4 linked regions of the Lytechinus pictus genome follow. The protein of the gene in region 3 purifies or fractionates together with the protein of the main gene of each other region. This does not show direct contact. Links are inferred from orthologs where the notes say so. Each region holds a gene or a part of one and is shown on either strand. Other genes may lie near its edges.

Region 1 (6,967 bases), on a different chromosome or scaffold from region 3:
AAATTAATGAGTGAGATACGTTTTGGTTTCTTAGGCAAATTTAATGAGTTACTAAATTGAAATTTGATGCATGAGTGAACAGGAATTGTAATTCTAGCATTTTAAGTTTATCAATTTCTCAGAGCAATACATAAAACAAGATTGCAAAAATGGTGAAAAAATTATAACTTTTACCTTATTTATCATTTAAATGACAAAAAATGCTTAAAATATCATCATATAACATAGTTTTGCATAAACAATTGATATATTTTCTGACCGAAATATGGGCCTGATTTGCCAAATTTCAATCACGTCAGCTCCTTCGATCAAATGTTGAGGTGTGGTGCATTGTGGGTGATCGTCGACGGAGTTCTCAAGGGAGCCGTCGACGAGCGACGGCGCATTGATAGAACTTGATGAGCATCACGAAAGTGCCATGGAACATGCAGTTAAAAATAACATTAGTTCTAGTTAGAATACACAAATTTATTACCAACATCTGCTCAGATTCGATATAAAAAAAGCAAACAAAAACTTAGAATTTACTCATGATATATGAAGAAAAAATCGCACAAATTCTTTCTTACATCAATATAGGCCTAATGAACGATATCTTTACTCGTCCGGAATCATGATGTAATTCGTCGCGCACGAAAATTGTTTTTTGTGGAGGGGTAATGTTGTAAATCGGATCAAAAATCAGATCGAAAATCGGATCGGCAGTTAAGCTTCTAAAATCGAAATCGAATCAAAAATCGAATCGGCGATGTTTAAAAACAAAGGAATACATCAAAATGTTGTTCGCGGTCGCGCGCATCTTCCTGACAAAGTCACAAAGACGAATGCATTGGAATGGAAGTCGCCAACATGCGCGATCATTTGGAACATGTTTTAAAGCCAGGGGTTTTGAGGTGTTATTGCTTTAAAATAAACCGAGTGATTTTTATTAGAAAGATAAACGAAAGACGCATCTTCCGAGCAAAGGCGCAAAGGAAAATAAAATGAAAATATTTCTCATAGATCACAGGTTAATGAATGATCGGCGGGACATCTTTTAGAAGTATTTTTAGGTGCTAGCGATTTAGAATTATTGGAATGATCTCTTACGACGCATCATCTTAAAGTCGCAAGTGCAATTAAAATGAAGTAGAAGACGCAAGCACGCACGATGATTTGAAATATGTTATTAAAATGTTTTGGGTAGCTAGCGTTTTCAAATCAATTTGAAGTTCACGGCGGGGTCCGCTATCACCACGAGGTTGAAGAGAAGATATCATAAAGGGGGTAAGAGAGTAGCGCAGTGAGCTCCGTCGGTAATACGACCTTTCAAAGTTCACGGCGGCACCCGCTATCACCACGAGGTTGAAAATAAAATGTATATCATCATAAACGATGTAAGAGAGTAACTCAATAAGCTCCGTCAATAGTACAGTCTTTAAAGGAGAATGAAACCCTTGGAGCCAGTTAGCTTTTGTGAAAGCAGAAAAATCAAAGAATAAGATCAACAAAAGTTTGAGTAAAATAGGACTAGCAATAGAAGAGTTATGAGCATTTGAATGTCGAGATCACTAATGCTATGGAGATCCTCCCATTGGCAATGCGACCAAGATCTATGATGTCACAGATGAACAACTCTCTCCTTTTGGACACTGAAAATATACCCCAAAACATCTCTTTTTGCTCATTCTAATCATATGACAAACGATTCATCAATGATATAATGTTGTGAAACCTATGTACTTGTCCTCTCATAAAGAGAACACCTCACCTTGTGATAGATAAAGTGAGAATATAGGTAAAATAAGTACTAAAGTAATGAGGGAGTTGTACGTGTGTGACATCACAGATCTTGGTCGCATTGCCAATGGTAGGATCTACATGGCATTAGTGATCTCAATATTCAAATGCTCATAACTTTCTTATTATTCATTCAATCTTCCTCAAACTTTCAACAATATGTTTATATCATTGATGAATCGTTTGTCATATATGATTAGAATGAGCAAAAAGAGATGTTTTGGGGTATATTTTCAGTGTCCAAATGGGAGAGTTGTACGTGTGTGACATCACAGATCTTGGTCGCATTGCCAATGGGAGGATCTCCATAGCATTAGTGATCTCGACATTCAAATGCTCATAACTCTTTTATTGCTAGTCCTATTTTTCTCAAAGTTTTGTTGATCTTATTCTTTGATTTTTCTGCTTTCACAAAAGCTAACTTGCTCCAAGAGTTTCATTCTCCTTTAATGATCTTTAGAATGTTTGCCACAAATTAGTGAAAGATATTTGTTGAAATATTAAAATTGGGATAGTTTTTATTGTTTGAAAACAAAGTGCGTAGCTTTAGGTCCCCCCATCATACAGTCTTTAAAAGTTTATGGCGGGGTCCGCTATCACCACGAGGTTGAAGAGAAGATTTATATCATTATAAAGGGGGTAAGAGAGTAGCGCAGTGAGCTCCGTCGGTAATACGACCTTTCAAAGTTCACGGCGGCATCCGCTATCACCACGAGGTTGAAAATAAAATGTATATAGGCCTAATCATAAACGATGTAAGAGAGTAACGCAGTGCTAGTGAGCTCCGTCGGTAATATAAGACCTTTCAAAGTTCACGGCGGCATCCGCTATCACCATGAGTTGGAAGAGAAGATATCTATCCTCTTAGTCTTATACATCGCCATAGATAATACCGCGTCTTTCTCCCTGAAAAATTAGTAGAACATGTATTGTATTTGTAACGTCGTTAGAAACAAAAATCATACCATGATTTTTTAAAAATCTTATCCAAAAAATAGTATTAGTACCGGTATGGCCTAACGTTAGGCTTCATTATAAAAATATTTACCAGTATATTATTATCAATATTAGGCCCTAAATCTACTTACATTGTCAACTCCATGTTCAAGCAGCCGCACGCGTGTTTTGGAATCTTCAATGTGAGGAGCAGCCATGATATGACTGATGATGGATGATCGGCCGACTACAACATAGATCTGTGAAACACGTGCTCGAAGATACGCACCAGATCAGAGCAGCGGATCCTTGCTGGGTCTACTACCCGATTGAGGCCGGTGTAGCGGCGGATTTGGTTCCACCGGCGGATACCGTATCCGCCGGCAGATATCGTTCTTAATGGCCGATATCGTTTTTAATCGGAACCATATCCGCCGGGTTTGACGCGGCTTGATGTTTGCAGATTTGGTTCCTCGGCGGATTTGGTTCTATTGATTATACGTGTAATATTGATTTGGACAGACAACCTCGGCAGCGCGCGCATGCGCGGCTCGGCAATGTCGATCGCAGGGGGGGATTTTCGTCCGCCTTTAGTGAATTTTTATTCAGGGGCGGATCCATACAGCTTTTGACAAAGGGCTCGATGGGGGTGAGGATTAATAGGAGAAATAATGTCTCGATATGTATTACGTAGACCTAGCTGACACACCATACAACTATGCTATTTATTATTATAAGATTTTGATGAAATTTTCATCATTTTGTTTTGTGAATTTTTATACTATTTTCAGTCCGCAGTATGCATCGATCTCTTTAACTGTGCTTTTTCACACCATGTTTAGTGTCAGTTTGCCAGACTGTTTGGCGAAAATTTGCACCCCCATATAGGCCTATAGGTTTTTGAAACTACAAATTTTTAGAAAAATTTCAACAAGTTAAAATTTTCATATTTCAAATAAATGATTCAAATTAGTGTATGAAAATATTTTTTTTGCTGTTAACTCATATTATTGCTTGTAGAATGCTAATTTTTGGTGAAAACAAAATTTTTTTATTTCTAACAAACATAAAAGGAATGTCAGAACATGATTAATTTCTTATGTAGTTTATTGAAGGCCTATCTTTAAATTTTCATGTATTTTTTTTAATTTGTTTTTTTTTTTATTCTTTTTTTTTCAATGTTAAGGAATCTGAATTAATTTATTTGATTTGATTTGATTTATTGTTTTTTCTGCATCCATGGAACATTCGTATAATACATTTTCCATAACATAATAAACATAATATTATGTTAGCATTTTTGGCATGAATCATAAATAAAGTGTACTAAAAAAATTATTCCAGACAAAAATGATTAACTAACAAATTATTATATGATATTCACAATTTGCAGGAGAAGGATTGTCATCATAAGCAGATTGCTTGAAGAAAAATGACAATCCCAAACTAAAACTAATTAAATTAATTTATGCATTTATAAAGCAGAATTGGCATATATATTTTTAAATACGAAACATCAACTCATGCAATATTTTTAGTATGAAGATGAAGATGATAAAGGTGAGGGTGACGGTGATATGATGATGATGATGATGATTGAAGGGGACCGGAAGATCACCCTGACAAAAGTTAGATACGCCACGTACTGTTTGGTGCTCCCTAATTTACCTCTCAGTCATCAAATTTTAAGATCAATATGGGATCTTTAGTGAAATATAATTTCTCCTTTATATCTTTTGTTTCTTTTACTTAACTCCTCCTGGTTTTCATCTCTTTATTTTTTTTGCCTTTCTTTCTGTCCCTGCTCATTTCGCCCCTTTTGCCTCTTTTCCAGTTTCCTATATCGTTCTTGCACATTATGAATATATCTGGGGCGTATACGCGAGGGTAATATAGCACAAAAAATGAGAAATATAAAGAGGAAGGGGAGGGAGAGAAAAATAGAAAAAATATACGAGAAAATGTGGAGGAAATAATAATAATACATTGTAATTTCGTAATTCAAGAATTTCATTTGCAGTGATCATTATTTATACAAATTTATACAAATACTGATTTTAATTATCGAAACTGCCATTGTTTGTCTTTATTTAATACTCTGTATTAATCATAATTGATGCATATTGTGCCCAATTTATCCCCAAAATTGTGATAAGAAGGACTTTTCATACTGCAATAAATTAATAGGTATAAAATAAATTAACAAATGCATGTTATTAGACTACAAGCATTATCATATCATGGGGTAAATTCTTTGTATACTAGTAGTGCAGTAGACATTGAAAGTTGAATGAAGACTAAATGTGGACTATTTAAAGACCCAGACCAAACCCCAAAAGTTGACAAATCAGTCAAATCGAAAGCTATTAATTCAAACTAAAAACAGAAATGCAAGTTTTATGCAGTCATCGCTTACAGCTGAATATTTTGCTTAAGAATAACTCCAATTATCAGGTTTCGAAAATATACTTTCTTGTAAATATGCTTTCACCGGCCTCGCACCGAGACCGTGACGTCATGTAGTGTTAGAAGTGGTGTAATTCCCGTAGAGTTGTAACAAGAAAATGGGTTATTTTCCCCTTTCAGATTACGCATTTTATTTCTTCACTTCTATCACATAGAGATATCATGAATATATTTTTCTGCAAGCTTTAATTGATGAAATCTACCGCTTTTTGACTAGTTTTCTCGTACCACGTGACGTATGTGAATGAAGGATATCGCAAGAACGATATCTTCCGAAGAGAGTGGCCTTTCTTGGTACTGAATCCGCCGGAGGAGAACCATATCCGCCGGCGGATTTGGTGCCTAGAACAGTATCTGCCAGGCGCAGGATCCGCCGGTACACCGGCCGCGCCGGGGCCAAGCGCTTGAACTAGCTTCCCGGCTTCGCTAGTGCTCGCACCGGCTCGCACGGTAGTACACCAGAAAGGGGGAGGGGGCCGGGGCCGTGGGGGGGGGGGGGGAACTCGGAGGCTGGGAATTGGATAGGAAGAGTCCATTATATTAGAGGTTAAAAACTTCCAATGCAAAATAGGCATCTATTTAAAAGTTATATATTTGATTGATGATAGCAGGTATCTTCGACTGCTTAACTACTAAATGTATCGATTTTGTCATTCTCAAACTAAGGAGTAATATTGACACTAGTAATGTAGATTATTAAAAAAAAAAAATCATTTTCGCATGGTACAGAACCGTACCGTACCCCATATCAAAGTAATCAATCACCTTTCCATTTCCGGACTGATTCCGAGACGCCCTCCGATTGACAGAGCAGAAAGAATAATGGTAATTGTCTTCTTTTGTGGTAGTTTTGGACATTACAAAACATAGTTTCTTGTTTGATGTCGGTTAAAGTTATTTTTACATTAATTTTAGTCCAAATTTGATTGCTCTGTTGAAGTATTTGCCAACTTTATTTTCCCCGATTTTATTAAATGGCCCCACACGTTCGATTTTGTGTAGCCTACCTAGCCTGGAGGCTTCTGGATCTGGGGAGTAAAAGTCATCTACTATATGTAGGCTTACTCAGCCAGGCGGCTTCTAGAGAGTAAAAATCATTTACTAACGTAAGGTTACTCTCATACGAAGCCAGGCCTTCTATCTCATAGACCCACACAAAGCTAGGAAGCCAAAACCTGAAACTTTCACCCACGAGATTTCTACTTTCCTTCTTCTAAATCTAAGTTCTAAAAAGATCTAGCTCTAAGTACAATAAGAAACAAGATGGCGGCGTAAACATCGGGCAAGTCTCTTCCGTCTTTTCACAATATTTTTTCATTTTTTTGATGAATTCTTGTTTTAAAAATAACAACGAGAGCGTAGAAATGTCGGAAATGAAGTTTTATCCCATTTACATGATTTAGAGCTAGATCTTGTTTTAGAAGGAAAGTAGGAATCTCGGGGGCGAAAGTTTCAGGGTTTCTTGCGGTACACGCAGATGAATGGGGAGGACTGCCTGGCTTCGTATGAGAGTAACCTTACGTTAGTAAATGATTTTTACTCTCTAGACATGCTAGAAGCCGCCTGGCTAGCCGAGGGATCATTCCTCTCTGTAGAGGCTAGGATTTCCCACGGTTACAGTAGATCTAAATCACAGATTGTATAAATCGTTTTGAGCCCGAACTAAAGTAAATGGGCCAAAACAATATCCCCCCCCCCCCCGAATTAACCCAGGGAGCCCAGGGGCTTGCCGTGTATTTGACCATACTCACGGGACTAGGGTGATTTATGGTCTAAATATTTCTCC
Region 2 (7,528 bases), on a different chromosome or scaffold from region 3:
TTAAAATAATTTCAAAAATTGAAATGTGGTTACAAAAGAGTTTTTCTTTTAATATGTTCTATTGAGACATATTTGATATGACTGTAAAGGAAATTTGCCATTTCAACATTTTTTTTCTTATTTTTCATGATTTCATGAATTTCTTATGTATTTCTATTGATTTTAATTTTTTTCATATATTTGCAATTTTTTCTGCTTCAATTATTTTCATTAATCAATATCTTAAGAAACTAAAGAAATGAGAAAAGGTGAATAAATCACTTTTTTTAGCACTCTTGAAATTTATTTTGCCCCATCGACTTTGTACACAAAATTGATTCCCCATTGACATTGTGTACAAATGTCCCGTATGTAACATTTTTGTAACAATTATTTAAAAAGTGAAATATATTTTGTAAACTTTTTGTATTATATCATTTTCGAACTCAGTAAATTAGAACTTCCTACAGACACAACAATACAGGTATTGTATTCTAAGAAATTCAACTAACTTAAAAAAAACGTCCTCAAAATGTTACGTATGAGACTTTCCATCCTTTGACTAGACCTAATTTGCATATAAAAATTAGGTGACACCACTATTTTCCCCAAAAAAGTAATAATATGTTGGGATGGGGAGGGGGTCCATGTCCCATCTATGATTAAATCTCACAAGTTTTGTTTTGATTCTTTATGAGTTTTTATAATTGTACAACCATAAGTAACGCCCATTTTACCAATTATGTAAATTAGGGGCCCCAAATTTGCCTAATGAAAAAATTTTCTTAATAAAATTTAAAAATTCAATATTTGGGCTTCTTTATCCAACCAAACATAACTTCTTGAAATAGAGATGAAATTTAGTCTCCAAAGCCAAAGGTGACCTTTTCTTGGACTTGCCCTTTATAGACGGGTCAATATATGGTTTGACGCGGAACAAATTGCAACAAATGATTTTTCAACTGTTTCTGGCAGTATTTGACCTCAGGAAAAACATACAAAAAATCTACCAAAATCTGCATCCGGGAAAGTGGTTATTTTCAAGATGGCGTCCAAGATGGCCACCATTCACTAAAAATTGATATAACTCACTCATTATCCACCCTAGAATCCTATTTGGGTTCATATTCCAAGGTCCAATGGGTAAACAATTTCATTTATACAAGTTAGAGTGAATATTAGCACTCCAGGGTACCAGGAAACTCCAAGATGGCGCCCAAAATGGCTGCCGTATTCTAAAAACCCCACAATCCATCTATTACTTAAGTGGCTTTAATTTGGGTTCAATTCGATTGTTTTAATGATGAAGTAGTTTATCGGGACAAGTTACAAGGACAGCCAGTGGTCTGGTGTGTCCAAAAATACAAAATGGCTTCCAAAAATTGAGTTTAAAATGGCTGTTCATCCTTAAAATGGGCATAGCTCATATCACATCTACCTGAGAGATATGATTTTTGTGCCTATACCATGGTTAAATGGGTCAAATAATAAATTGGGATAAGTTACAAGGACGATGGGTGGTCAAGTATGTCCAAAAGTCCACGGTGGCTTAAAAAATAGTATCAATTAGCTGCGATGGTATCTAAAAATGGACATAGTTCATGTTATATTCGTCAAGGGCATATGATTTTGTTGCCTATATCATGGTTTCAAAAGGAAGAAAATTAGCTACAAGGAAAGTCAGTGGTCCAGTATTTCGAAAATCTAAGAAAGCTTCCAAAAACCGGAGTCTAAAATGACTGCTGTTAATTTTAGAATGGACATTTAAATCCACCAAGGAGATATGATTTCGATGTCCACTATGGTTTCATGGTTAAAACAATACGTTTGGACTTGTTACATTGATATGCAGTTGTCCAGTTTGCCTAAAACACAAGAGGGTTTTTAAAAAAGGAATCTAAAACGACTCATATTTAATTGTGGTCAGAGTTCTACAATATTCATCTGTGAGAAAAAATGTTGGTGTCCAAATTGTGGTATGAAGGGTCAAATAATACAATCGGACAAGTAACAAGGATGGTTAGTACTCAATTTTGTCAAAGAATCCAGGACGGATTCTAAAATTTCATCAAAATTGGTGCTGTTACCAACTCATGAAACAATAATAACTTGTCCCCATGCATTTAAGTGTAAGAACCAAGATTATTTCTAACAGGTAGATAATTTACCTAACAGTAGTCACTTTAGAACCCCTTTTTTAAGCCAACTTGGATTTGGAGGCAAAATGGATAGCTGCATATCATGATAACCAGTCCCAAAGTATTGTTTGGCGCTTGAAATCCTAGTGTAGACACCAAAATAATATCCCCAAGGTGTATTTATAATGTTCTACATCCACTTTTAAGTAACAGCAGGCATTTAAGACCCCCATTTTAAAGGCCATCTTCGATTTTTGGATATACTTGACACCTGACTGTTTTTTCAACTTAACCCAATGTATTGCTTGACCATGTAAACCCTAGTATAGACAGCAAAATCATACCTCCAAGCCCAAGGTGTATTTATAATAAACTATGCATACTTTTAAGTAGCAACAGTCAATTTACACCCCATTTTTTAAAAGTAATCTTGGATTTTTTAACATACAGACAACTGACTGGTCTTGAAACTTACCCTAGTGTATTACTTGACATTTTTAAACCATGGTTGAACACCAAACTCATATCCCTAGACAGATATTAAACAAACTATATCCTTTTATAAGTAACATCATACATTTTTTTACTCCATTTTTGGAAGCCATCTTGTAATTTTGGACATACTAGACCACTGACTGCCATTGTCTTGTCCTAATATATAATTTGACCTTTGAAACCATAGTTTAGACACCAAAATCATATCTCACAGGCGGATTTAAAATGAGCTATGCCACTTTTAAGTATCAACAGCCATTTTAAAATCAGGTTTTATTTATTATTTATCTATTTATTGGTATATGCACATATATTTACCAGCAGCAGGGCTGAAAGGGTCAATTTACAATAATAATACAAAGTACAAAATAACATAAGTTACAGTAAGTATAATTTTGGCCAAATGATTGAATGGCATTGAAAGCCATATTGGATTTTTGGTCATACCAGACCACTGACTGGCCTTAAAACCTGTCTTATTATTATTTTGGCCCTTAGACCAGTGGTTTAGACACCAAAATCGCATCTCCCAGGCCGATATGAAATAAGCTATGTCCGCTTTAAGTAGCAGCAGTCAATTTAGTATCAATTTTTGGAAGCCAACTTCGATTTTTTGGACATGCCAGACCATTGACTGTCCTTGTAACTTATCCTAATATATTATTTGACCCTTGAAACCAGTGGTTTAGACATCAAAATCACATATCCCAGGCCAAAATGAAATGAGCTTTGTCCGCTTTAAGTATTAGCAGCCATTTCAGAATCAATTTTTGGAATCTATCGGGGATTTTTGCACATACCATACCACTGACTTTCCTTGAAACTTGTCCCAATGTATTATTTGACCCATTTAACCATGGTATAGACACACAAATCATATTTCTGGACATTGAGCAAACTATGTCGGGTTTTTTTAAGTAGCAACAGCAATTTCGACTCCATTTTTGGAAGCCATCTTGGATTTTTGAACACATTGGACCAATGACTGTCCTTGTAAATTGTCCCAATGTCTTATTTGACCATTGAAATCGTGGTCTAGACACCAAAAGCAGTATGTCCCAGGCGGATATGAAATGAACTATGTCCATTTTAATTATCAACAGCCATTTTAAACTCCATTTTTGGAAGCCATCTTGGATTTTTGGACACACCAGACCACTGGCTGTCCTTGTAACTTGTTTCAATGTACTATTTTACCCTTAAACCATTGAATAAAAAACAAATTTAGATGAATTGTGGATTTTCAGCCTACGGCAGCCATTTTGGGTGCCATCTTGGATTTGCCTGGTACACTGGAGGGATTATAATTCATTCTAGCCTAAATCAATTTTTTTTACCCCCAGACCATGGAATATGAACCGAATTAGGATTCTTGGGTGGATAATGTGTCAGTTGTATCCATTTTCAGTGAATGGCGGTCATCTTGGACGCCATCTTGAAAATAACCACTTTCCCGTATGCGGATTTTGGTAGATTTTTAGTATGTTATTCCTGAGGTCAAATAGTACAAAATACCGTTGAAAAATCATTTGTTGCAATTTGTTCCGGGTCAGGCTATTTTTGGTTGTATATTTACCCGTCTATTAATGGATAAGTTAGATCAGGTTTAATGTATAATTTGTATAATTTAGTAATTCAATATTCGTACAGTGTATACAGAGTCTCAAGACTATTAGGAAAGTACTTGTTTTGCTACTGAGTAACATAATTAATGCTGTGGTTTGAATGTATTGAGCTGAGTGGTCAGTTAGTGTGTTCTCATTCAAGTGTGCCTATATTACAAGACTATACAGCTCAGAATGCTGCATTATCCTGGCCAGATATGAGTAGTTGAGGACTTGTGGTGGCGCAATTATTTCCTTCCTTTTTTAAGACTAACATTATCATTTGGATTCTCTTTACTTTTAGCAGAGCACCTTACCATTTTCCAGGATTAAAAGCAGATAGAAGTCATGGCTGAAAAACCATCTCAAGGTCAAGGATCACCTGGTAGTATCCCTCGTGGGCTTATCAATAGACGAGGGAGTGTTATTAAACCCAGTGAAAGATTGCCTTCGCTACGCACTCGTGACCTAACTCTAGGAGGCATACCAAAGGTAATTATAGCCATTTTGATGTTAACACTTGGTATTTACTGCTTTTATCTAGTACATAAAGGTCACTGTATGGTTGGGTCGTTCGTCTATCCATTGCAAATCTTGTAGATCAAATAAAACTACTTCCTCTATTTTCACCTATGTTTATTAGACTTCACATGCAAATTGATCTTTGAGAGATCGAATGGGTCAGAAATTGTTGCTCTGGTGATGATATATTCAATTAGTGATATTTCTAGTTGTCCTAGTGACAAATTAATTTCTAATCTATCTTTTGCTTTCTCAATGGTGTGCTACCAAAAATTGAATTTTGTATATTTAAATGATCCAAGAGGAGAGGGATAATTGAGCAGTGAAATAATGTTTTATGTGTAGCAGTCTATAGAATAAAGAAAACTACATGTTGAATATTAGAAAGAAGTTCTATAAAATTTGAATGTAGTCCTGATAAGATTGTAAGTTTATATGTTTTGTTGTTTTCTTTGTCTGCAGAAATCTTTTAAGCCCAATATACCAGTAAGAAGAGAAAAAAACAAAGATGAGTAAGTATTATTCTTTTTTTTTTCTTTGTATATCAGACTTGTCAGTGTCAGCATTCCAGAAAAACATAAAACATGATTACCAGTACTAAACCATGAAAAGAATGAATTATACATTGCTATCAGAAAAGGCTGATCTTTGTAGATGCTTAATCAGTGGCGTACTGTGGGTCACGTCATTGGGGGGCACCAGCAAAAATTTTGAGTCACTTATACCGTGTTTACAAGTGCATCGGCTTTTGGTTTATCTTGCACCGCGTTTGTAACAGCTCACGGTGCAGAATCTGCTCGAGTAGCAAAAACCTGAAATGATCCACGCACCAACAATATACGTCATAATAAAGACAACGCTGGATCCGTGGGCTTCCAAGTACGTCATAATGGTAAAGTAAATGAAATGCACGCCAATTGCTTATGCAGAATTGGCTTTCTATTTACACGTAGAAAAAAAGCCGATTCTGTATAGGCTCGCGGTTCTGAACCTACTACTTTGGTGGTGCAAAATTGCTGATTCTGCACTGAGAGCCGATGCAAGTTAATCGCGTTTACACGCAACAAAAAAGCTGAATCTGCATCGGCTCGCTGTTCTGAATCGCGAGCTGATGCAGCGTGTAAATACAAATTTGGTGAGCATGCAAAGCGTGCTCAATTGCCAGGTATACTGACCTTAAATAGAGAGATTTTAAGGACTGTGCCATTAAGCGGATATATGTATCTCACTGATCAAATAATGCGAGCGCGAAGCACGAGCTAAAATTTTTTTATATTCAGACCTAAAAAAGGACATTATAAGCAAATTTTTGTGTAATAATAATACGTACCTGTCTCGCTAAACAAACAATGCGAGCGAGAAGCTTGAGCTGAAATTTTTGTATTTATTGACCCCAAACAGGGACAGTTTAAGGACTATTTTTTAAGAAGTTTAGGATATACATATCTCACCATAGTCATCTAATGCGAGTGCCAAGCGCCTTCTGATTTTGTTAGAATTACATCTAAACACATAGTCATTGTAATCGTGATTAACATACGCATCTCACTAATCAAATATAGCTAGCGCAAAGCGCGAGCTCAAAATTAAGGAAATTCAGACCTGGAGAGTGGCATTCTAAGGCTTGTTTGTAGAAATTCACTAAGACCATACTAACCAAATGATGCGAGCGCGAACCGCAATCTGAAAAACTTTGATATTTAGATCAGAAAAAAGAGATATTTTAAGCCCCCATTCCACAGAGAACAAGACCGCTGAAAGACCTATGTACCACCATGAATTCTGGTTGATCTTTCAGAGGTCTCTCAATGAACCTACAATGGTCTTTGAGGTCTTACACGAGTCCTGACCAATCTTTCAGTGGTCTTCGTGGTGTTCATGGGCTCCAAAACTTTTTGAAATGGTTCAAAACAGTCTTAAAACGGTCTTACAGGAAAATGGCATTTCAGTGGTCTTTCAGCAGTCTTCCAGCAGTCTTTCGATGAACTTTCAAAGGTCTTAATAGTCTTTCAATGATCTTTCGGCAGTCTCTCAAGATTTTTGCGGAGATCACTGTAAGATTCATGAGAGATCATTAAAAGATCATTGAAAGACCAGGCAAAGTCCATTGAAAAAATTCAGAAAGATCACTTGTTGCATAAAAGATCTCTGAAAGACCATTGAAAGATCTCTATGGGACTAGTCTAAGACCAGTAAGACAAGAAATATCCATGAGTCTTTCAGAGTTCTTTGAGGGGTCTTTCTTAGCCATTCCACAGAGAAGACAAATTTCAGTGATCTTGAAGACCGCTGGAAGACCTCACCAATTTCAAGTTTTTCAGTGGTCTTTCAATGGTCTCCGTTCTGTGGAATGTGGGCCTTAACAACTGATTTTAGGAATTCATGAAGAGCAGACATATCTCACCAATCCACTAATGCGAACGTAAGCACGGACAGGGAATGTTTTATATGCAGACCTTAAAATGTGGCAATCAATTTAAGTAGTCATGAAAAAGAAGGATATGTCACTATATAAAACAATTAAATAATAACTCGAAGTGCGAGGAAATATATTTGGTGTATATTGACTTGAAAAAAATATGTTTTAGAATTATATATCTCGTTAAACAGACAATGCGAGACCAGGAACGATGAACACAATAGGCCCTGAGCAAAGTATGTTTCATAAAGTTATGAAAAAAAATATTTCTTATGATGTACGGTAATAACATAATATATACAGTATAATAATAATATAACATTATAATGTACAATATTTTCTTCATTCCCATTACGTTTCTCTTCCCTATT
Region 3 (7,914 bases):
GGACTCTAATAGATACTGTTGCTTCTTCAGATCATTCATCATTTTCTGTACATCTGATAAAAGAGAGTAATACTTTCATTTCTTTTTTTTTCATTGTCTCGTCTTACTTTTCTGCTACTAGGGTTGGTTCAGCAGGGACAATATGTGTGGTTGGGAGCGATTTCACTCCCAAAATGCTCAAGAGCCCTGAAAAAGCCCCAGAAATTCCCCATTCACTGCAACGTTATTAAAACTTATTCAATGTTGCAGATTTGAGCAATTGGTTGTGAAAAATAGCCCCCCCCCCCCAAATATATATATTTTCCAGTATGCAAAAACAAATTTCTAGTCGTTTATCACTGTGCTAAAGAAGTCATCTCACTATTTCATCTCCTGTGACTCTTTACTACCAGTAATATTACTACCAGCAAAACTCTTATATGAAATAAGGCTATGAAATGGAAAAAAGGTTAATGCATATCATTAACCTGAATTCACATTGTTATTGGAGAGCAGGGGAACTCCCCTCCACCTTTGAAATGTGGATGGTCACAGAGAAGTCTCTCAAACCTTCACTCTAAATCAGACCTTTGGACAAGACCCGCTTATCTACTCACATGATTTCCTCCTATCGATGATCTGACAGGCTTGTGTGGCTGAACGCTCTGCAAACCAGTTATCACCAAGGAGAACGAGTATCTCATTGGTATGGATCAACTGACCAGGCATGAAGGCTAACTTGCCAAAGGGAACCTGTAGAAAGACAACACGGTAAAAGACAGAAAGAGATGGAAGTGTAAGGGGGAAGTAAAAAAAACAGATATATGGACAAGAAAAAAAAAACAGAGAGATGATAAAGAGAAAGTCAGGAGGAGGAAACAATAATACTTGAATGAATTTGCACCTGAGGCTAGAAAATAAAACAATTTTTATTCACTTGTCAACAAAAGTTCAAATCTCAAATTTATTTGGTGGTGAGGTGGGAATGGATTCAACACATAAGCCACGCCAGCATAGATCTGTGTCACAAAATTAGTTACAGGATAAATTTTGTGGCCTCAAACTTATTACAAACTTCATATTAACTTTCAAAGAATGAATACTATCAGGAAAACAGAAAAAATGAAAAACAAACAAAGATTGATTATAAAAAAATGTATTTACTAGTGTATATTTGATTTCTTACCATAACTTCATGTGAAACTTTTTCAGGTAACGTTGTCAGTCTGGCCTTGAGAGCTGAATAGTCTTCATCAAACTTTTGCCATTGCTGTAATTTGTCTTTAGTCTCAAACAAGGCTTTCTCTTCTTCTTCCTTCAGGCGACCAATATGAGCAAGATCACCTCCTCTCGCCATTATACAACCTGCATGATAACAACCAAATAAATAATAAATTTCTAATCTCATACTCTAGAATGTATTCTTCTGAGAGACCTAGCTGTGCTTCTCCTGGTCACCAAATTTTTCTACTCTCTAAAGTTCTGGCAAAACAAAATGTAGTGTACAATCGTATTTGCAAGTTGTTACTGAGGAAGAATAAAGAAATACTATCTATACCCAGACAATCGATTTTAAGCAGCCATTTGGAAAAGTTAAACAAGCAAAGTTTTGTCAATTTTTCATACAAAGTGTTAAGTAATATTACAGAGAATGAAATTGAAGATTACAACCATTAAATTCTAGTGTAATCAAAAGACAAAAAATAAGCGTGGAGCGTTGTGGCCCAGTGGATTAGTCTTCGGACTTTGAAACAGAGGGTCGTGGGTTCAAATCCCAGACGAATGCACGATCTCCCACAGTTATCTTTGTGTTACGAGTGGGGATGAGAAGGAGCAAATTATCGTGAGAACTGCACAGGTTATGAGTGTGTATAGACCTGTGAACTTTGCGTCGTAAAAGCTCAGAAATATAGTTGGGGGCTTGGCTAATTAGTTCCTTGTATACAATTAACAAAATCTTGAAAGATATTCGTTGGCGAACTGGAAGCCAGTGCAAATCTTTTACGATAGGGATGATCCTGGAAAATCTAAGTTGACAACAAATCAGTCGTGCACATGTGTTCTTTACTCGCTGAAGATGCCCAATGTGAGACGATGGGAGCCCAGACAGCAAACTGTTACAATAATCTAGCTTACTAATAATGCATGCATGGACAATATTGTTTTCACACTTTCATAATTAAAGTAATTTTGTACAATTTTGTATATCATACGAAATGACGATTTACACACATTTGTAATATTTTTTTTCCATAGTCAATTGTGAGTGAAAATATACTCCCAAGATTTCTTACATTAGAATTTGGTTCTATGACTTAACTGCCAACTGATATCCTGTCAAAATCTAGCTGTTTAGATGTACTGATAACTAGCAATTCTGTATTACTGTCATTTTTTTTAATAGCATAAGTTTATTGTGCAGCATCCATTCACGTATGTAATCAACACATTCTTCCAGGAGAGAGATGCTCTGCTGCTGAGCAAGTAAGTCTGGTGTGAAAGACAAATAAACCTGTGTGTCATCTGCATAGCAGTGGCAAGATACTTACTAAATTTACTATGGATATTTGTAATTAGTTGACTTGTGTATAGAGTGAATACCCTTGAGGGACTCCGAAAGGTACTGAGAAAATTTCAGAAACAGTTTCATAAATTTTGATTTGTTGACATCTGTCAGTTAAATGATTACCAAACCTTTATGCCAAAGTGTTTCTTTAGTGCATGCAATAGGTTAGTATGATCAATAGCATCAAATGCACTACTAAGGTCTAATAAAAGTAATAAGGTGACTTTCTTTCTTATCATCCATATCCATGAGAATATCACTCTTGAGTCATAATTCTTAACAGTGTCGTTCAGTACTGTGATACTGCCTGTAGACTGACTTATTACTTGGAACAAGGTAGTTGCAGTCGAGATGATTCATTATTTGCGTATATACAGCACCTTCTACAAGCTTTGATACATACCTCAGATTACTAACAGGCTGATGATTACAATTTTTTTCTTCCAAACCAGGTTTATTCAATAATAGTTGAACTACAGTGCGTCCCAAAAAAAACTATACACTTTTGAAATGGCTGCCAAATAAAAAAATGTACCACTTTGGGGGAAAAGACTTATAGATATGGAAAGCCTATAAAGTCAACTTTCAAATGACACCAAAAAGTTGGAAAACTATTCATGCTTGAGCGAGCACTGCCCACTGAAACAAAGGGTATGAAAATTAGGGTGGGCTGGAATTAGCCTTCCAATTTCTTTCAGTTTTTTTTGTTTGGTACTTGCAAAGTTGATGGTTATTTGGTGAATTAAAGATCAGTTGTGATCAGTTTGTTGTTTGTGAAAATTTAATGCGTTATTAAATCGAAATTTAATGCATGAGTGATCATGAATTGGGTGCAGCATTTTGTCTTATCATGTGGGTCTCAACAATGTGTTCACGACAGTCAGGAGAAGAGGGGGTAATATGACTTAGGTAGGTGAAGTACGTTGGTGGGATAAAGGTCAACAGAACATTTAGCAACCCCTCTCTCAATCTCACCCCCCCCCCCCCCCCCCCGCTTATCTCCCCCTGAGAGACTAATATGCTCAGCTAAAGTAGGATGGGCAGGAATTAGCCTTACAGTTTTTTTGAGTGGTTAGTCCTTTGGAACTTGTTAAGCTAAATTAATGAGTGAGATAAGTTTTGGTTTCTTAGGCAAATTTCATGAGTTACTAAATTGAAATTTAATGCATGAGTGAACAGGAATTGTAATTTTATTGTTGCATATTTATCTTGTGAACCTCAGCAGTGTGTTCGTGAGAGTCAGAGTAATGTGATGGTACCCGTTACAAGCAAGAGGGCGAGATATGCTAAGACTTGGTTAAAAGGGCATTCCTCTTCTTTTTTTTCCTTTTACAAATTAAAAGTCATATGTACCCTCCCCTCTCCACCTCCATTTCCCAGCCCCCCTCTCTCTGTCTCACTTCCTGCATCATTTGTAGCCTATTCAAAACTTAACTGCCAAGTGACCGGTGGCTGATGGTCAGTTTTTTTTTCAATGATTACCAAGAAATTTAATGATTATGATGATTAATGAAATAATTAATTGAAAAAAAACTGAATGTTTGATTGATCACATTGCACATTGAATAAGTTGATTTACTGATAAATTGTTGATTAAATGATTGATAGGAAAAAGTTGATGTCCCAATTCAGAATTAATCATTAAATCAACATTCTGCTCTGGACTTCACGCGTACATGACAATAGCCATCAGTCTCTCAACAGGAGGGAGGGCGGGAGAGAGGGAGGGGCGGGGGCTGAATGTTCTGTTGACCCTTATTCCATCAACCTACTTCTCTGACTTAAGTCCTATCTCACCCCCTATTCTCCCGACGCCCATGAACACATTGCTGAGATCCACATGATAAATTTGAAATGCTGCCCAAAAAGAGATCCAAATGATAAAGTTTAAATGCTCCCCAAAAGTTGTAACTTGTGTTCACTCATGCATTAAAGTTCAATTTAATAATTTACTTAAAATTTGCTTAAGCAACCAAAACTGGTCATGGTTGATCATTAATTTATCACATCGCCCTTAACTTTGCAAGTTCGAAAGGATTTGCCTCTCAAAAACTTACATAAATCGGAAGGCTAATTCCAGCCCACCCTAATTTTCATACCCTTTGTTTCAGTGGGCAGTGCTCGCTCAAGCATGAATAGTTTTCCAACTTTTTGGTGTCATTTGAAAGTTGACTTTATTGGCTTTCCATATATGTAAGTCTTTTCCCCCAAAGTGCTACATTTTTTATTTGGCAGCCATTTCAAAAGTGTATAGTTTTTTTTGGGACGCACTGTAGAGCAGTTTTCCAGAGTGAAGGGAAATGACCAGATGACAATTCAAGATTAATTAGAAATGTGATGGTGGGAATCAGTGTGTCAATACGCTGTAGAAGAATCTTTGTGGGCATTGGGTCTGATGCACAAGACTTTTTACTGAACTTGGTTATAGGTTTTTTAACTTGGTTGGAAATCCTTTTTTTTCCTTGCTCTGAAAGAAGAGTAAATTTCATAAAGTCAGGTTTTCGTGGATCTGCATGACTTTCTTATGAAAAAAATTGCCTAAATCATTCACAAAGCACTGTTTGTTACTAGTGATGCATGATGTAACAGATTGCTTATTTGCAATATTCAACAGAGACTTCACAACTCAAAACTGCTTATGATCACCTTTGTTTTCCATAACTAAACCATTGTGATGGATTCTTCAAGCTCATGTAACATACATGTATGCAACATGTGTTTGTGAAGTGACTTATACCCATTCCAATCGCTCTCCATCCTAGAGTTTAAGTTTTAACCGATGCTTTTCAACATTCCTTTTCTGTATTTTTGCGATCCTTACATTATCAGTGAATAAAGGCAATTGGGGTCACAGAACAACTATATTACATGTTCTGCATGCATGTTTATCTAAGATACTATTTAGTGTAATGTATCATATAATGAGGCGAATTCTTAAAGATCACAAGCTGTATGTTTGCAAAGATTATTATCGGCTATATCAAGCTTCTTCGTAAAAATATCTATTACTCCAAGCCTACGGAATGAAATTACTTTAGAAGTGGAGGTTTGTAGGAATTAAAGAGTACACATAACAGGAATATGATCGCACAAAAGTGTGTCCAAGGTTTGCCGATTATAATTTCATCTACCTGTCGATAAATCAAGTCAAGGGTATGACCATGAATAAGTGTACTAAAATCAACCAGTTGTGTACACAAAAAGAGACTGGAGCAGATCCGAGAAAGAACTTGCCTCTGCAGCTCTGCTTTGACAGTATCCACATGGATATTACAATCTTTAAAGGAGAATGAAACCCTTGAAACCAGCTGAATCCATATCAAAGAGAAAAATCAAAGAAACATATTGTTGAAAGTTTGAGGAAGATTGAATGAATAATAAGAAAGTTATGAGCATTTGAATGTCGAGATCACTAATGCCATGTAGATCCTCCAATTGGCAATGCGATTATGCGACCAAGATCTGTGATGTCACACACGTACAACTCCCTCATTACTTTAGTACTTATTTCACTTATATTCTCACTTTTATAGAGTCTATCACAAGGTGAGGTGTTCTCTTTATGAGAGGACAAGTACAGAGGTTTCACAACATTACATCATTGATGAATCGTTTGTCATATGATTAGAATGAGCAAAAAGAGATGTTTTGGGGTATATTTTCAGTGTCCAAAACTGGGGAGAGTTGTTCATCTGTGACATCATAGATCTTGGTCGCATTGCCAATGGGAGGATCTCCATAGCATTAGTGATCTCGACATGGGGATTATGGTGAAATGTCAGAATTGTTAAGGAAATCCCCAGAAACGTAGCCTGGAGGCGTCTGGGGAGTGAAAGTATATACTGTACGTATGGTCACTCCCCTAACGCCTGGCATTGTGATGCATAGAGTCCTACCTACCGAGGGAAAAGGCAACTATAAAAATGCGCCAAACTGCTAGTTATGTTTAGAATCTGAGGTCACGACTGCTGTACATGGGTCACAATATTGGTTGGCAACGTTTGGCAAAAAATGCGTAGTAATGGTTAAAAAATGACGAATAAATTATATGAAGTAATAAAAGTAGAAGAGAGTTTACTTACACTTGTTGACATCGCCATCTTTGATCCTTTGTAATTGCAACCTAGTTACGTGACGCGTATAGAGGGCGGCAAAATCATGAGCGGTGCTAGATTAAAAAGTGCTAAAATGTCCCGCTTCAACCACTGAACTAGAAATACATAGAGAAAACATATTGCATCTTGCCTTCTACGGCGTTTGGCGGCGGTCACGTGGCTTATCGAGTTCGCCGCCGGCGATGTTTTGCTTGGGTGTACACGACTTCCACGTATTTCTAGTTCAGTGGTTGAAGCAGGACATTTTAGCACTTTTTAATCTAGCATCTAGGGAGCTCCCGCCCGCGCAGTGGGCGGGAGCCCAGGGGCTTACCGTGTATTTGGCCATTGTCACCGGACTAGGGTGATTTATGGTCTAAATATTTCTCCAAATGAATTGTGAAAACAGAAAGTATACAATTACCACGATTATATGGATGAAGGTCTAACGAGTGGCAGTTTCCTGACATCTGGGCACAGACTGGAACCTCAAAAAAACGAAAAGTTCTCTCCTCTACCCCAGTCTCGATCGGCCATTTTGTTACGATTTTTAACAAAAATGGCCGATCGAAACGGGGGTAGAAGGAGAGAACTTTTCGTTTTTTTGAGGTTCCAGTCTGTGCCCACTCATGGGATCAATGCATCTCGCGTGCGAAGGATTCATATGCACATGGTGCACGCGAATCTTTCACACACTTTTTACTAAAATAACTATGCCATTCCATTTAAATAATGTTTCTAATTGTGCTACATGTATGACACTTACCGAACCATATGGATCGTTTCTTGACTTCTCTTTGGTGTGTTTTTTAATAAAATAAAAGCATTTTCTCGTGATCTTCACGTAGATGCCGCAGTATGATCGTGGGTATCAACTTTTAATATTATTCACAAGACGTTTGTTTACGATCTGCAGCTTGTACTGCTAGCTGCATTTTAGATGCTCAGCATTATTTTCCTGTTTCTGTTTTTTTTTTTTTTTTTTTTTTGCTGTCAAGTGGTATTTTCGATTGTAGTGCCATCAGCGATGATGAAATGTAAAGAGTCGCCTTGAAATGAAGAAAAATTGTGTCACATTAATTCGTTAGTTTGTTTCCTATTTTTTTGCCCTTTTTCTTCTTCCTCATCTATGATCAAAGGTGAATACCTTTTTTTGATATCTGTTCTAAAAGCTGGACATTTTAAATATTTTGTTCAAATAAATAAATCAACAGGATAGTAATCAAAATGCGATAGAGCTGCCCGAGCTGAAAATCCTGATGATACAAGGACTTG
Region 4 (7,511 bases), about 23 Mb from region 3:
AATACCATACAGGGCTTCTACTCCAAAAATGAGCACATTTCACACAAAGTTTACCTGCTACAGTCTGATAATCAAAATATTCTGCTGCAGGATCTAAGTTGACCACATGAACTTGTCTCCCTATCGTCTCACAGTGTTTCTGGAGATTACTGCAGTATGTTGACTACAATAAAAAATCAAATACAAAATGTTGACTTACATGTATGTCTGTAATTCACTATTATACACTGATTAGCTCTCAATGATTTACAACAAAATTAAAGTAAATCTAGGAGGCTCCCTACAGGGAATAATTTATGCTTTACAAATTTGAATAGCATTTTTGGTCTTAAGAGAAAAGCTCTCAAATAAGTAATGTACAGTCTTATGTAAAAATAGTCTATACAAAAGACTTAATGCATAGCAGTCTTTCAAAACTGTAGAGCAAATTGCGATGCGATACCAGGAAAATTACTCCCTGCCCTATCACCTAGCAGTGCTTAGATTTAGAACTGGAAATTACTGCAGTCTTTGCAAATTATATTTTCTTGATATGACAGCATATCTCAATATAAATTTGTTATGTGGCTTGAAAAGTTGAAAAGTAAAATAATTCACAATGAAGCTGGGAACAAATATGAACAATTATAATACGGCTCCTCAAGGTACACAAAAGAACACCCCTTCTGTCCTACTATACAAACTTTGGGAATGAAGTGAGAGAAAAAAAGAAGATGGAGGATAGGAAAGAAAGAAGGGGGATGAGTAACAACTAATTCTAGGCCATGTAACTCTATAATACATAAATGCATAAGACCCTAGCAATAATTCAATCAAGAAAAAATATGTTGACAGGTCATATTGTCCCCGCCAAAATATTATAGCGCTGCCCCTGGTACAAAGCATAAAGTAAGGCTTATGACAGAGCACATTATAAGTGACACCATAGATTTTCATCAACCCTATCTTGAAATGTTTCTTTCATTTTCTTCTTAATTTGATGGTGGACTTAATCCTTTCAGATTTGTGGACAAATACTTACTTTTCCACTACCGGCTGGTCCCATCACAATCTGAGCATAACGCGGCATCTTGTTAATGTTACTGGAAAAACAGAATGTGAAAAAAAAATGCAAATGAATGTTAAGTCTCATAGTGTATGATAAACATTACCTGGCGATGTTCTTGTGATCATGTCACATGTGTAAAAAAATGCGCCTGTAATCCAAGCTATGTGAGGAAGTTACATATTGATGCAGAGGTCATGTTATTCTGATGGTGACATTAAAGGTTGGTCCCAGGCGTAAATAATCATATCTGATTGATACACGTATGACAAAACTCAATTACACACTCCAACACCATTGCTAAAAAGCACTCCTGCTATCAGCATTCTCTCAATGGCATAGATCTAGTAAACACTGGTTTTAATGCAGTTCCATTGAGGCGAGTTTTAGTCCCCCAAAAAAATTACAGAACTTTTTAAATCAAGGTTTCGAGAGTGAAACCGGAAGACTTAACCGTGTACACCGTAAGACTTAACCAGGGTGACCAGACGTCCCGTATTTCCCGGGATCGTCCCATATTTTTATCTTTCCTTCTTTCTCTTACCTGCCTTTTTTATTAAATTTCCTTTTTCCTTCATTCTTTCTTTCCTTAAACATTTCTGTTTCCTTCTCCCTTCCTCTCCTTTTCGTTCTTTCTCTCCTTCCATTATATTTCTTCTTCTTTTTTTCATTCTCTCCTCCCTTCATTCTTTCCTCCCTCGATTTCCTCCTTCTTTCTTTCATTCTTCATTTTATCTTTCCTTCTATTTTTTTCCCTTATTCTTTCTTTCCCTCCCTTCCTTCCTGTTTTTCTTCTTTTGTTTGTTTCGTTCTTTCGAAGAATGAAGGAAACATATCTCTCCTTCATTCTTTCTTTCCTTCTTTTTTCTTACTTTCTTTCCATCCTTTTTGTCTTTCACACATTTATTCATCTTCCCTTCCTTTCTTTCTATAGATATTCAATTCAAAGAATGATGGAATCCTTTTTTCTCTGTTTTTCTTTCTTATTTTTTTTCCTTTCTTCTCAATTTATCTCTTTTCTTTCGTCTTTTCTTTCTCTCTGTCATTCTTTCGTTCACCCTCCCTTCCATTTCTTAATATTTTTTAAGCCTTCTTTGTTGATCTATTTTGTCGAATGTCCTGTATTTCATTTTGTGAAATCTGGTTACCCTGGAATTAACATCCTATCATAACCTTGTTCATGGAATAAGTGTCCTTTTGTTTGTTTTGTTTTTTGTGTAGGGTACATGATACACATTGGACTCTTTTTCCAGCTCACCTACGAAACAGAATGAAATATTATCAGTAAACAATAAACACTCATTTAAAAAATGTGGGAAGGTCTTCATACTTGGTAAGTTTTCAGTTTCCATACAACATGTACAAATTGAAATCAGTCATCTTTTAACTTTTTGTTATTTTTTTTTCAAATAGAATAGAGCCTAGATAGGCTAGAGGTTTGTGAAAATGTAGTTTTAAACTTTTATCCACAATGCATTTGTTTGTATGTTTGTGCCCACAATTTTCACAGACACAGTTAATGCAATGAACTCATGGGTGGATTTTGGCCAAAATTTGTAACATTGTTTAGCTTAAACAAAGGTTGAATAAATGAATGAAGGAAACACTTGGCGCTCCATAATCTGAACACCTTCGGGTTAGAGACGGTAATACGGTACCGCACACTGTTGCCACCCCGATCCGCTCCGAGGCCGCTCCACTGAAGCCCCGATGCCATCGGCGATGGGATTTGTTGGAAAGATCCCGGGTAAGAATGACATCTTCAACTCTTGATAAATGATCACTTTAACCAAATTATAACATCATCATCATCAGCTACAAAAATTACAGTGAACTGCGAATATTGTAATGTTCTTACTTGCAAGAAAACTTAGCTTCGCCGACAAAAGTTCAGATGTTTTCCAGTTTCCACTATCGGAGCTACTCAATTCAAGCGACCAACACATGTGGTTTACATGGAACGCCATAGTGATCGATATGCGATCCGCATATTAAAAATGCAGAAAGGTTTTTTGAAAGCTAAATCTATAGCTCATAATTAGATATATAATATACTAATATCTCTATGATATAGCTGCAGATTGAAATCAGAGTGGATTTAATATTTTCGAGGGAAAATCCCTTACTGGCTTATAAAAATACTAATTTTGCCGATGAATGTTGAGGGTTTCCCTCCCCCTTTTTTCCCCTTTTTTTATTTTATTTTTTTACTTTTTAGCTCTCTTTTGAGGTAGGTCTTGGCAGAACAAATAAAATTACAGTATACAGCAATATCATAAATGCGGAAAATTAAATAGGCATTGTATTTAGCATGAAATTATGAGGGGGCAATAATACATTTCTGCCCCGGCCATGAAAGAAGAGAATTAACCCACATTCAGCTCGACTGGCACAGTCTGGCATTCCTTGGGGTCAAACAAACAGTTAACAGTGACATAGGCTTACACATTTACAAGTTTAATCAAGATAGAGACTATAAAACCATGATTAAAAAGAATAATTGTAATAACAAACATGCCGGTAGGTAATCCAGTAGAAATAAGGATCACAAATAAGAAATAAAATGATCCACACACTATATAGGTAGACGGGAAAAAAGGAATAAAGAAGGAGGAGATCGGTTTCGGGGTCGGTTTATATCATTTTAATTTTTTTTTGCTTGTCAATTTTTTTTCTGGTACGAAATCCTTTATTTGTGGTTGAAGACCTTTTTTTTTTTTCTTGTCAAATTTTTTCGCGGACGAAATATCCTCCAAAAAATTTGCCTCCCCTTTTGGAAAATCCTGGTACGCCGCTGTCCCTACATGTAAAGAAATATGCAGTGCCATTAAAAGGTCAAAACAAATTGAATATGAAAAGGCAAAAAGAAAGGATAAATTGACTCTACACCATACAAAATGGGAACATTTTCCCAGTTGTTTGTTTGAGTCAATTTCACTTAAGTGATTTTTTTTTCTTTCTTCAAACTATTTCTCCCACTGATCCTTATCCATCAATTGAAATTAAAAAAACATCAATATGATTACCTTGCTATAATATAGTGCTCATTTTGCATATTAAAATGATTTATAATATGGTATTGGAATGATTTTATAGTAATACATCTAATATTACAAAATATATCATGATGCCATTATGGTTAAAATATAAAGTAGATTGGTTTTAATTTGGCTGCTCTCCCTTCACATTTTTTGTTTTGTTTCGTTGTTGTTTTGTTTTTGTGTGTGTTTTATGTAAAATCTTTATTCAGATTATTGTACACTAGACTTATAGTTTTTGTATTGTCTCACAAAATATGGAGATTATAAATATATATTGTCCCTGGTTTTATCCCATGCATTGATATAACATTTTATTCTTTTACATGTATTTAAAGCTGTAGAACCTGGCGTTTTTAGCAAAAACTGCTAACTGCCAATTAAGTAATTTCAGATTTATTGTACCAGAAACCTCCCACTTCCTTGATTGTACTAACAGAAATAATTTAAATAAACTTGCAACTTTTTCTCAATAGGCCTACAGTTTTTTTTACAATGCTAAAAAAAAACTCCAACCGTGGCTCACATTAAACAAAATATGAACAAGAAAGTAGTATTCTTTAATACATGATTTTCAGTCCTTAATTGGCTTGAAAATCGAGTATGTTTCTTTTTGGAGAATGTGAGTCTCTGAGTCATGGAATTCTTTCAATTAAAGAAACAGATCCACATTTCATGTTTGAATAGGAATACTAACTTTGCAGTTGGCTGTACTAATTAAGGCCCAAATCAGTCAGTAGGAGCTAAATACCTTACACGAGATGATGCAGAAAACAGCATCTTCATCATGACTTTGAATATTCTATATAAATTCTATTTTGACTAGATATATTAATCATTATGAAATAGAATATGAGTTAATAATAATCTTATTTGCGAAATGGATGATTTTGATAATGATTTTAGTGTAAGGATTATATTTTTGGTGTTTCCACTTTGTTTGAGAAATTTTTGTTTAAAAATATTTAAAAAATATTAAATCAATCCGATTGAAAAAATCTGATTTAAATCAAATAAATAAGATTTTGTTGATTTTTTTTAAATAAAAAAAATCGCCAACCCTAGCTGTGCATTCAAATAGCCAAACTTACTTTAAAATAATAGAAATACCAAATTTGGTCTCCTCGACCTTCACTGCTATTATTGTGGTGGGAAATTATTAGCTCCACCGGGGGGGGGGGGAGTTGGACTGCCCCCCCCCCCAGCCATTACAACAACATAACAATAACAACAAGAAATTAAATTAAAGACAAAAGCATTATAGGCACGAAAATTGTCATTTTGTAACTTAAAAATTAAAAATTTTCGCCCCAGTACCGAATAATTAAGTTACAATATTGTATTAACAAGTAAATTTAGTGAACTATTATGGTAGCCTCGCGTCCGTCACTGTCCAAAAATTGTACCCCTTCAAGATTCCCCCGGCCCCTAGCTCAAAACTGAAAGCATTCTGGTGCGCCGAAATGTATAGTAGAACACAGTGGCGGACCGTGACTCGGAGGAGACAAAGCATTGGGGGGGGGGGGGGGGCACAGCATTGTTCACAGACAATGCAGTGCCCCCCCCCCCAATGCTTTGTCTCCTCCGGTACTACAGGTAACACATACATAAAACAAAACATTAAGCCCCCCCCCCAAAAAAAAAAAAAGGTCATGTACGTACCACTGTATGTAAATATTTTTGGTTTTTTTCTATAATTAAACAACTCGACCGCGTCTCTACCGCGCCTGTCTGATAATTTTTTTTACAGAAGTAATAGTTTAAAGGGGGAGGGACTTGTTGAACCTGTACTAGGAGACCAACCCATTAAAAAAATACTTGTAGTAAAAAATACCATCACGCATTTACACCCACCCCCCCCCCCCCCTGGGCCTCCCCGCCCGGCCCCCTGGCCTAAAATAACGCGTATGCATCTATCTACGATCTGCTTTGCAAACATGCGTGGTCTGTCTGGAGTCTTGATTTTTCACAAGGCCGGTGGTTATACGCTGTGAATCTTACAGGTAAATAAGAAAGAAAAGTCCGAGTGACATTTGATATTTTTCTCCTCACATTCATACACTATTTTTAAAATACAAAATGTCGTTCAAATGTCCAAGTCCCAAGATGCTTTATAAATCCCGGAGTCATTGCCAAACGGCACTGTTATTAGTTTTAATGCGTGCGATATGTGTATGCACGCAAGTAAACGGGCGATGACACATTACCGTGATTCTCGTATCCAAATTGCGCATGAGCGTAGTCGCCAGGGACTTTAACGTGAAAATTGTCTTGGGACGTTCCACAGTTAAATCATGTAATTTTCTCTAAATTTTGCAAAGAGATATAGAAAGTTTCCTTGGAGTTTGGGGGCCCCTGGCCTGGGTTGGTACTATGAAGGGGGGGGGGGGGGAGGGGCATGTCTGATCACCTGAAAATTTAACTTCAACTTCAAGAATAACCCAGGCAGAGAGCTCCCGCCCGCGCAGCGGGCGGGAGCCCAGAAGCTTACCGTGTATTTTACCATTGTCACCGGACTAGGGTGATTTATGGTCTAAATATTTCTCAAAATGAATTGTGAAAACAGAAAGTATACAATTACCACGATTATATGGATGAAGGTCTAACGAGTGGCAGATTCCTGACATCTGGGCACAGTCTGGAACCTGAAAAAAACGAAAAGTTCTCTCCTTCTACCCCGTCTCGATCGGCCATTTTTGTTAAAAATCGTAACAATATGGCCGATCGAGACTGGGTAGAAGGAGAGAACTTTTCGTTTTTTTGAGGTTCCAGACTGTGCCCAGATGTCAGGGGCCTGTTGCATGAAAGGGTCTTTCGTAGAACCATTCTACGTAAGAACGAGATATCGCTCAACTGTTTCACAAAACCAATTTGGGCGATACGAAGAATGGTCCTTGGAAAGACACCTCCAGACATGTCCTACGTAGGCATGATCTTTGCACACCGCCCGCCACCGTCGGTATTGAGAGAAAATGCATTTACGGCAAGCCACACTGACATATCACCTCTAAACATTTTTTTGGTTGCACTCTGATGCATTTGATCTGGGATGGCGCCAAGTTATTTTTTATATGGGGGCTAGTTGTCATCAATTTCAGGTCGTCTTTTTGCACGGCAAAAAACGGATGTCATTTTAACTTCTCCGGGGTACATGTATTATTCCCGGGGGTAATGTATAGGGCCAAATATTTTTTAAAATATGTTTTCTTCTATTCTCCCTCCGTCTTATCCCCACCCCTTTTCTATTAAAAAAATAAACATGAAATACTTAAAATGGGCGGCACTACATCTCTTTAGCCGACCCCTCATGCTTTCTCATTAAAGATAAACAACAAATTTCTTTAAAAGAAATTAAGTAAGGTAAAAAACGTGTTAAAAAACATTCAGCAAAAAAAAACAAGACAAACAAAACTAAGATGTTAAACATG

What was found. Proteins that work in one complex are often made in the same cells at the same time.
Region 1: the proteins of unconventional prefoldin RPB5 interactor-like (region 3) and DNA-directed RNA polymerases I and III subunit RPAC1-like purify together in Homo sapiens (affinity purification with mass spectrometry; 4 studies listed by BioGRID and IntAct, with this or other methods). This does not show direct contact. The link is inferred for Lytechinus pictus from reciprocal best matches to the Homo sapiens genes URI1 and POLR1C.
Region 2: the proteins of unconventional prefoldin RPB5 interactor-like (region 3) and DNA-directed RNA polymerase III subunit RPC4-like purify together in Homo sapiens (affinity purification with mass spectrometry; 3 studies listed by BioGRID and IntAct, with this or other methods). This does not show direct contact. The link is inferred for Lytechinus pictus from reciprocal best matches to the Homo sapiens genes URI1 and POLR3D.
Region 4: the proteins of unconventional prefoldin RPB5 interactor-like (region 3) and GPN-loop GTPase 3-like purify together in Homo sapiens (affinity purification with mass spectrometry; 3 studies listed by BioGRID and IntAct, with this or other methods). This does not show direct contact. The link is inferred for Lytechinus pictus from reciprocal best matches to the Homo sapiens genes URI1 and GPN3.

What each region holds. Positions count from the first base shown.
Region 1 is NC_087251.1:7,256,256-7,263,222, forward strand, and holds the start of DNA-directed RNA polymerases I and III subunit RPAC1-like, read right to left. Parts: upstream 3,011-6,967; 5' UTR 2,868-3,010; intron 1-2,867. Other genes in the region: AP-2 complex subunit sigma, read left to right, coding at 5,902-6,006. UniProt on the Homo sapiens protein: DNA-dependent RNA polymerase catalyzes the transcription of DNA into RNA using the four ribonucleoside triphosphates as substrates.
Region 2 is NC_087247.1:56,498,634-56,506,161, reverse strand, and holds the start of DNA-directed RNA polymerase III subunit RPC4-like, read left to right. Parts: upstream 1-4,518; 5' UTR 4,519-4,564; coding exon 4,565-4,708; intron 4,709-5,200; coding exon 5,201-5,250; intron 5,251-7,528. UniProt on the Homo sapiens protein: DNA-dependent RNA polymerase catalyzes the transcription of DNA into RNA using the four ribonucleoside triphosphates as substrates.
Region 3 is NC_087246.1:39,025,361-39,033,274, reverse strand, and holds the start of unconventional prefoldin RPB5 interactor-like, read right to left. Parts: upstream 3,019-7,914; 5' UTR 1,388-3,018; coding exon 1,166-1,387; intron 733-1,165; coding exon 597-732; intron 54-596; coding exon 1-53. UniProt on the Homo sapiens protein: Involved in gene transcription regulation. Acts as a transcriptional repressor in concert with the corepressor UXT to regulate androgen receptor (AR) transcription.
Region 4 is NC_087246.1:16,028,192-16,035,702, reverse strand, and holds the start of GPN-loop GTPase 3-like, read right to left. Parts: upstream 3,011-7,511; 5' UTR 2,904-3,010; intron 2,793-2,903; exon of another isoform or gene 2,658-2,792; intron 1,083-2,657; 5' UTR 1,070-1,082; coding exon 1,022-1,069; intron 164-1,021; coding exon 55-163; intron 1-54. UniProt on the Homo sapiens protein: Small GTPase required for proper localization of RNA polymerase II (RNAPII). May act at an RNAP assembly step prior to nuclear import.